Linked DNA regions of Stegostoma tigrinum. The protein of the gene in region 2 interacts with the protein of the main gene of each other region in a biochemical or structural test. Links are inferred from orthologs where the notes say so. Each region holds a gene or a part of one and is shown on either strand. Other genes may lie near its edges.

Region 1 (3,753 bases), on a different chromosome or scaffold from region 2:
GGAACTCAGTCCCGGCTCTGTTCAGGTGCAAATAATCCAGCTTTACAATTTCCTTGTTTCTCAGAGCTAATTACAACATTCCAAGAATCTAAAGCCCTTCCTTATGCACCACCTTTACAGGTATGCATTCATCTGTCCTATCCTAGTTCTGTACTCATTTACAGATAGCACTGGGAGTAACGTACAATTATTACGTTTTGCGTTCCTACTTACTAATTTTCTACCCAGTTCCCTATGCTCAGGCTGTAGGACGACTCATGTCATTGGTTCCAGCATGGAGTCTGGCTATTGGCTGTTCATCCTCCCCCTTCAGGGTGCTGTACAATTACTTAGTGACATCCTTCATTACAGCACCAAAGAAGCAACACACTGTCACACTTGTGGTTCAGAAACATTTTTCTATTCCCCTATCAAATCATCTATCACTTGGCTTTTTCTGTCTTTATACCACCCTGTGCAGCTAAGCCTCCACTCATCTGGAGAATGCTGCAAGAGCCATCTGCCATATTAGATTCCAGAATTAGATATTAGTTGAAAACTGTACTATCTGCCTGTTCCTTTTTGATTACTTAGTGGTCACCTATTCACTCTCTCCCTACACAACTTCTAGCTGCAGCATGATCACATTGTAGCTCTGAAACCCAGAATTTAAGCTGCTACAACTAATGACACCTGCAGCATAAATGGTTATCCAGGATATGAGCATCATCCTGGAGTTCCCACATCAAAGTTGAAGAAGCCCTGCCATTTTTTTGCTTATCCGTGAACATTGCTACTACAAAAAGAACAACAAGTACTCTTGGTCTACGACTCACTCAGGCACAGACACAATCACTTTACTGACACATACAGAAACTGAAGTGGGCCAGCAGCAATAAATGCAAACGCAAGTCAAAGGCTGGGAAATCTGAGGTAATTTACTTCCAAACTCACCATAGCCTAGCTATCTAAAAATAAGTTTGGAGTCTTGACTGATTAATTTGCAGTTGCCTGGATGTCTGAGGCTCCAATAACAGTCCCTCCACCAGAGCACAGCAGCAGTAGTGTATACAATCTACAAAAAAAAACTGTCACAGCCTGCCAAGCCTCCTTCAGAAGCACCATACAAACAGGTGACCTGTACCACCTCAGAGGAAATGGCAGCAGATACATGGGAACTTCACCTGAGACACCATCCCGACTTGGAACCATATTGCTGTTCTTTCATGGTCACAAGTGAAAATCCTGGAGTTCCTTTGCCAACAGCACTGGAGTGGGGTCCATGCCAAATGGACAGTAACATTTCAAGAAGATCACACACCACTTTCTGCTTGAGTGCAATTAGAAAAGGGCAATAAATGCCAATCCTATCAATGATGTGCAACTGCACGATCAGAAGTTCATGTCCAGATCAAATATCAAACCAAGGTTACAAACTGGCTAGACTGCTAAAAGCTTTTGACTTGAGAGTATACCAAATTGTACTAATGCAAAAAATTATCTAATGTGTCAAATCTGTGGAACTTTTGTATCACAAGACCATTAGATAGTCACAACGTGGATGATAAATTATTTCATGCACTGCCCATCTTTCCAATGTGTCATGATTACCTTTAAAGATTAGTTTCTGCAGTTGCTGGGGTACTCCAGTAACTTGAGCAATAACAGTTGCCATGTCCTGCAATGTAGGTTCACATCCTTCCTGTACAGCAGAAATTTCAATCTTGTGCTTTGAACTACCTAAGAATGAAATATAAATACAACAGTAAACATATTCCAGCTTCTGAAAAGGCACTCTGCAGTATCCTAATAAACAGATGAAATTAATCTATTTGCATATAATTTGCATTACATTTAATTGTTGCATACAGCATACACAATGAGGTGTAGGCCTTTGGATTCAGACTGTTTCTTATCCACATTTAAACCTCCCATAGTTTTATGCCACAATGTCTCACGTGCTATAAAAATGCAGAATTATATTCCCATATTCAGAGAAATTACAAGAGACCGTTCAGGCCTGTACGTCCATAACTCTGCAGCAGCAAATTTGTTCCACTCCCAGCCCTTTCCATGAAACCCCACCATTTATTTTCTTCTTCAGATAATTATATCATTCCCGATTGAATCTGTCTCCATCACAGTATAAGGCAGTGTTTTATAGTCCATGAAGAGATGTATCAGAGATTCCTCTGCCCCTCGATCACTGAGATGGCAGGTATACTGTAGATGAACGGCTGGGCTGGGCTGCAGGATGACTGAAGCCAACTCACTTTGCTAATTAACAGTGAATGCAGACAGGCTGAGTGTGCAGACACAGACAGAGCTTGCCCGGGCTCTGCAGCTCCTGGTGCTCATAGATTACCCGCTCCCTCCATCAACCGGACCCTGCACAAGGCTCCTTCGCTACCCCTTCTGACAGAGGAAGCAGAACCGAGTCACCGGCCATTACCGTGCATCAGGGTTAGTGCAACCGTATCGCCGGACATGTCTCCTCCAAAAAGCGCCTGTTTAACTTCCGCTCCGCAGCGGATGCCGGGTCGCGGACGTGGAGGAGACCAGGTTGGGACGCCATCATTGTGCGGGGCACAACCGGTGCAAATCGGGAAATTGTGTCATCTTTGTGAGGGGAACAACATCTGATGATCTGCATTTGAATAAATCTCAAATACAGATAAAGTGTTCGGAGATAGCAAGAACTATAGTTGGTGGATCCACTAATTCAAAGTGTTAGCCGAACCAACGATTGCATCCAGCACCCGCATTGCACTCTTGCACTTTCTTAAATCTGAGTAGGAGATTTTGAGGAGGACTGAGTCTCTTCCCACCAGATACTTTCATCTTTTGAGTATCGCTAGTAGGTAGACAGGGTCTCTAACAAGATAGCAGTGATATCAACAGAAACAAAATTAGTTATCAAAAACATACATTTAAGCAGTTTGTCACACACTAAATCTTTATACATTCTCATAAAATGACCAGAAATGCTTTGACTGCATTACAAATTAAAGATGAAAAGGGTAAAGATAGGAATTGTATTTATACATTTCATTTGATTGTTTTAACATACAATTAAAACCATTAAATAATAATATCTCCCCAGTCAGTTATTATTTCGATGGACTAAAACATTACTAAACAATTGTGTCTTATCTTGCCTGAAGGGGAGGCAAAGACCTACATTTTTCTTTCTTATTTAACCTATTTTTCTAATCTATCTGTTAAGAGATGTTGTTACACACCTCTCGAGCAGATGGGACTTGAACCCAGGCCTCCTGGGTCCAGGGGGTAGGGACACCACAAAAGGGCCCCCTACATTTTAACCATCAAGAACAGCACACACTTTCAATACTGTCCGCCTTTAGTGCTGAAAGCCTTGTTCATGTAATCATGTTTGCCACCTCTAGATTCTTGTTTGAATTTTTCTGGTTACTTACCACTTCATAATAAAATTTTATCTGAAGTTGAGGCTGCATTGTTCTGCAATAAGAACAATCCCTCTTCTTAATGACTTACTTTGATTCCATGTGCCCTAATGTTCAAGAAATTAACATATTTAACCGCACCCATAAATCCCTTTGTCCTGTCCCTCTACAAGTTCTACATACCAATTCCTTGTGTAAAGTTATCAGGGAAAAGCTCAATTTTATGCATCTAGTTTTATGCCATGGAGATGTGTGCTTAAAATCACGTTATATAAGAATAAAAATTGTGATGTTATTCAACAAAGAAAACCTTTCCTCTTGCCAAAATATCGACGGAACTATGTTATCA
Region 2 (3,753 bases):
CCATTTATCCAGTGCAGTCAGTTTGCCTGTTTTCTTCCCTTTGGATGCCATTGCCTTGGCTTCAACCACATCCCCATAGAGAGCAAAAATGGACCTCCATACGGTAGGATTCTTGCAGTTAAACAATATTTCATGTCCGGTCATGTTACTTTATTCATTAAGCAGTTTCAACCTGCAAATAAAAATGACATTTATAACTGCACAAATGTTGTTGCACTAATCATTTTTGAAACACAAACCTTAGGGATGTACAAATCAGAAGCAGTAGGTCACTGAGTGCCTTGAGTCCATAGAACATTCAATATGATTTGATCATTCCACATACCCACCTCCCCAAGACAACATTTCACCACCAAGTGGGAAGGAATGATCCAGTGGTGTTATCACTTGACTGTTAATCTAGGGAAACCCAAGTAAGGTCCCTAACCCTAACCCTAACCTCTCTGATGAAGGGTCTAGGCCCGAAACGTCAGCTTTTGTGCTCCTGAGATGCTGCTTGGCCTGCTGTGTTCATCCAGCCTCACATTTTATTATCTAAGGTCCTGGGGACCTGGGTTTGATTCCTAGCAATGCAGACTTTTAGAACTTGAATTCAATAAATATCTGGAATTATGAGTCTAATGTTGACCATGAATCCACTGTCAATTGTTGTGGGAAAACCCATCTGATTTGCTAATGCACTTTAGGGAAGGAGATTTCCATCCTTTTCTGGTCTAGACTACATGTGACTCCAAATCCACAGTAATCTGGTTGACTCCTAGCTGCCCTCTGAGCAATTAAGGGTGGACAATAAATGCCCACATCCCATAATGATTTAAAGAAAACAATCAATATTCAGGGACTCTACTGCCACGGTTTTTTTGGCAGAGTTCCAAAGACCCGCTGTGAAAAAGAAATCGTAGAATTGTAAACAGCTTGAGGAAAAGGCCCTTCAGCCCATCATAACACTGCTAGTCATCAGACAACCATCCATTCGTTCATTCTAATCCCATTTTCCCGCACTTGGTCCTTAGCCGTCTAGATTTTTTTTTTATCTGAACTTGTTCACAGACGTTATTAGGCACCTCCGGAGCAGGTGGGGCTCGAAGCCAGGACTTCTGGCCCAGAGGTGGGGACACACCACCCGCACCAATAAAGGTTCCTGTGTGCTCCAACGTTTCAAATGTTCATCCCAAAACGTCTTCAACGTGCTGAGGGTTCCTGATTCTTATCATCCTCCTCAGGCAGTCAATCAATCACAGTCGCCACTCTCTGGGTTAGTTAATATTTACCCCGACTTTATAAGTTAATGGTATCAATCCTGGTCACACAGCGGCGGAGGGATGGAGCGGTTATGGGGAGGAAAGGAAGATTTCCATTATCAAGATGGCGGCGGTCCTGCTTCACGGGGGCGGCTACCGTCGCGTCCTGAATCGCTCACTCGGCCGTAGCGGCGCCAGGAGATGAGTTCAGCGGACGCGGCGGCGGACGACACGGGCGCCCGCCGCGCCGGGAGATGCCGTCACCGGGCGCGCTCACGTCGGCGGCGGATGACGCCGTTGTGCGCGGCCGGTTGCGTGCGGTTTGTACACAAACAGCGGGCGCCGCTCCTCGGGCCGATTCCTCCTCGCCCGGTGTGTCCCGCCTCTGAGCGCCTGAGGCCGGCCTCATTCCCCCCGGAGGTTCCTCATATCAGCGCAGCCGCCCCTCCCCCGACCACTGGGCCTAGGCCTAGGACTCCCCACACGCTCCCTCACAGCCTGGGGACTGTCCTACACCCTCAGGCCTTCCAGCAGCTGCGGGGAAGCCGGGTTTTACTTCACCCCCTCTCTCTCTTTTCCCCCCTGTGTCCTGCTTTCACCCGGGGTGCGGGGGGAGGTAAAGCTGCAGCATGTCCGGAAGCCCCGAGAAGAGCCTGACTGCTCAGGAGCTGAAGGAGCAAGGAAACCGCCTGTTCCTCAGCAGAAAGTATCAGGAAGCCGCGGCCTCCTACAGCAAGGCTATTGTGAGTATCTCGGCCGGTGCCGGGGAGAGGCCACGGAACAAAACCTCTTCACCCCCCGAGCTCATGAAATGCCCCTCATTCATTATGCTTTGTCACTCCTGCTTTATAATTTTCGAATGCCAAACGCCAGAACGAAAGGGTTCAGGTGACCCTTCAGGATGAGCAGTCATGCCCTGGGTCTGCTTCTAAGATGCTGCTTGGCCTGCTGTGTCCATCCAGCTTTACACTTTGTTATCTCAGGGTCTGGTTATTCGGTGCAGCTATATGACTCAACGCCGACGGCTCAAAATCCAGCAGATATAAGCGTTTAATTCTGTGCGTTTGTATGCCTAGAGGGATTACCTGAATCAGAAAGTAGATGACTATTTGAAAATACGTCTATGAACTTGTTGCATCAATTCGTAGGACTTGTGTATACAAGACTGTCTGTGTCTAAGTGATGAATCTTGGAATCTGTGTGATCAGAAATTACCTAAAGTTGTTCCTGGCTGTTTATAATGCTGTTGAAAGCATTATTAGATCACAGTATTGTAACAGGCTCTTACTTCTGTATGTGTCTTTTTACACTCAGCCATTTTGATATTGTGGTATTGGTATAAAATGCAAAGCTCTGAGGAGGAATCAGTGTTTGGAAAAGTATGTACTGTAGATAGGTCATATAACTGGGTAACTGTTTAGTAGATGGAGTACAAGGTGGAAAAACGTGTTGTTTGATGGGAAGAATAGAAAAGCAGTATGTTATTTAAATGGAGAGAGACTATAGAATGGTGTCGTACAAAGAGACCTGGGTGCCCTTGGACATGATTAACAAAAGTTGGCATGTGGATAATTAAGGTTTCAAATAGGATGTTGGAATTTATTGCAAGGGGCTGAAGTATAAAATGTCTAGCTGTTCCTGCATAGGACATATGTGGTACCGCAGTTAAGTATGAATGCACTTTTGATCTCTGTTTTAGAATCCCTACAGTGTGGAAACAGGCCATTTGGCAAAACAAGTCTACAGAACCCCTCCGAACAACATCCCACCCAGACCCATTCCCCTAATTTCCCACATCTAACACACCTAACCTAAACATCCCTGAACACTATGGGCAATTTAGCATGGCCAATCCATCTAACCTGCACAACTTTGGACTGTGGGAGGAAACCTGGAGGAAACCCACGCAGACTCGGGGAGAATGTGCAAACTCCACACGCAGCCGTCAGAGGGTAAAATCGAACCTGGGCCCCTGGTGCTGTAAGACTGCAGTGCTAGCCACTGTGCTGCCCCTTTTGCCAGGAATGTGCTTGCAAATTGTGAGCAGTTTAGAGAAGCTTCTCTAATTTGATTCCTGGAATGAAGGGCTTGTTTTGTGAGGTAAGATAGAGCAGGTTGGCTCCTGTACCCACTTGAATTTAAGAAGGTGAAAGGTGATTTTCTCGATTTACATTCAGAAGTGGCTTTTCAGGTTAGATACTAAGAGGGTGTTTTTTTCCCTCATACGGGTGACTAGAACTTGGGGCAGAGTTTCAGAATCAGATGTGTGTCATTCAAGATAGAAAATAATTTACATTTCTAAGGGTTATTAATCCCCGGAATTGTCTACCACAGTGGAGCAGTGGAAACTGTTATTAAATATAGTTAAGCTGGACAGTTGAGCTGGACAGATTTTTGACCCCAAGGGAGTCAAAAGTCATCAGGAAGGAAAGTGGAATTGTTTGCAATCAGATCTGGCAGATCTAATTGAATGGCAGACCAGGTTAAAGGGAAGAATGGCCCGGTTCTGTTC

The links.
Region 1: of the proteins of stub1 (region 2) and bag1, one has a biochemical effect on the other in vitro, tested with the Homo sapiens proteins (3 studies listed by BioGRID, with this or other methods). The link is inferred for Stegostoma tigrinum from reciprocal best matches to the Homo sapiens genes STUB1 and BAG1.

Annotation. Positions count from the first base shown.
Region 1 is NC_081355.1:88,368,551-88,372,303, reverse strand, and holds the start of bag1 (BAG family molecular chaperone regulator 1), read right to left. Parts: upstream 2,544-3,753; 5' UTR 2,469-2,543; coding exon 2,432-2,468; intron 2,404-2,431; exon of another isoform or gene 2,253-2,403; intron 1,720-2,252; coding exon 1,591-1,719; intron 1-1,590. UniProt on the Homo sapiens protein: Co-chaperone for HSP70 and HSC70 chaperone proteins. Acts as a nucleotide-exchange factor (NEF) promoting the release of ADP from the HSP70 and HSC70 proteins thereby triggering client/substrate protein release.
Region 2 is NC_081376.1:48,039,263-48,043,015, reverse strand, and holds the start of stub1 (E3 ubiquitin-protein ligase CHIP), read left to right. Parts: upstream 1-1,490; 5' UTR 1,491-1,870; coding exon 1,871-1,984; intron 1,985-3,753. Other genes in the region: uncharacterized protein zgc:112496, read right to left, coding at 2-144. UniProt on the Homo sapiens protein: E3 ubiquitin-protein ligase which targets misfolded chaperone substrates towards proteasomal degradation.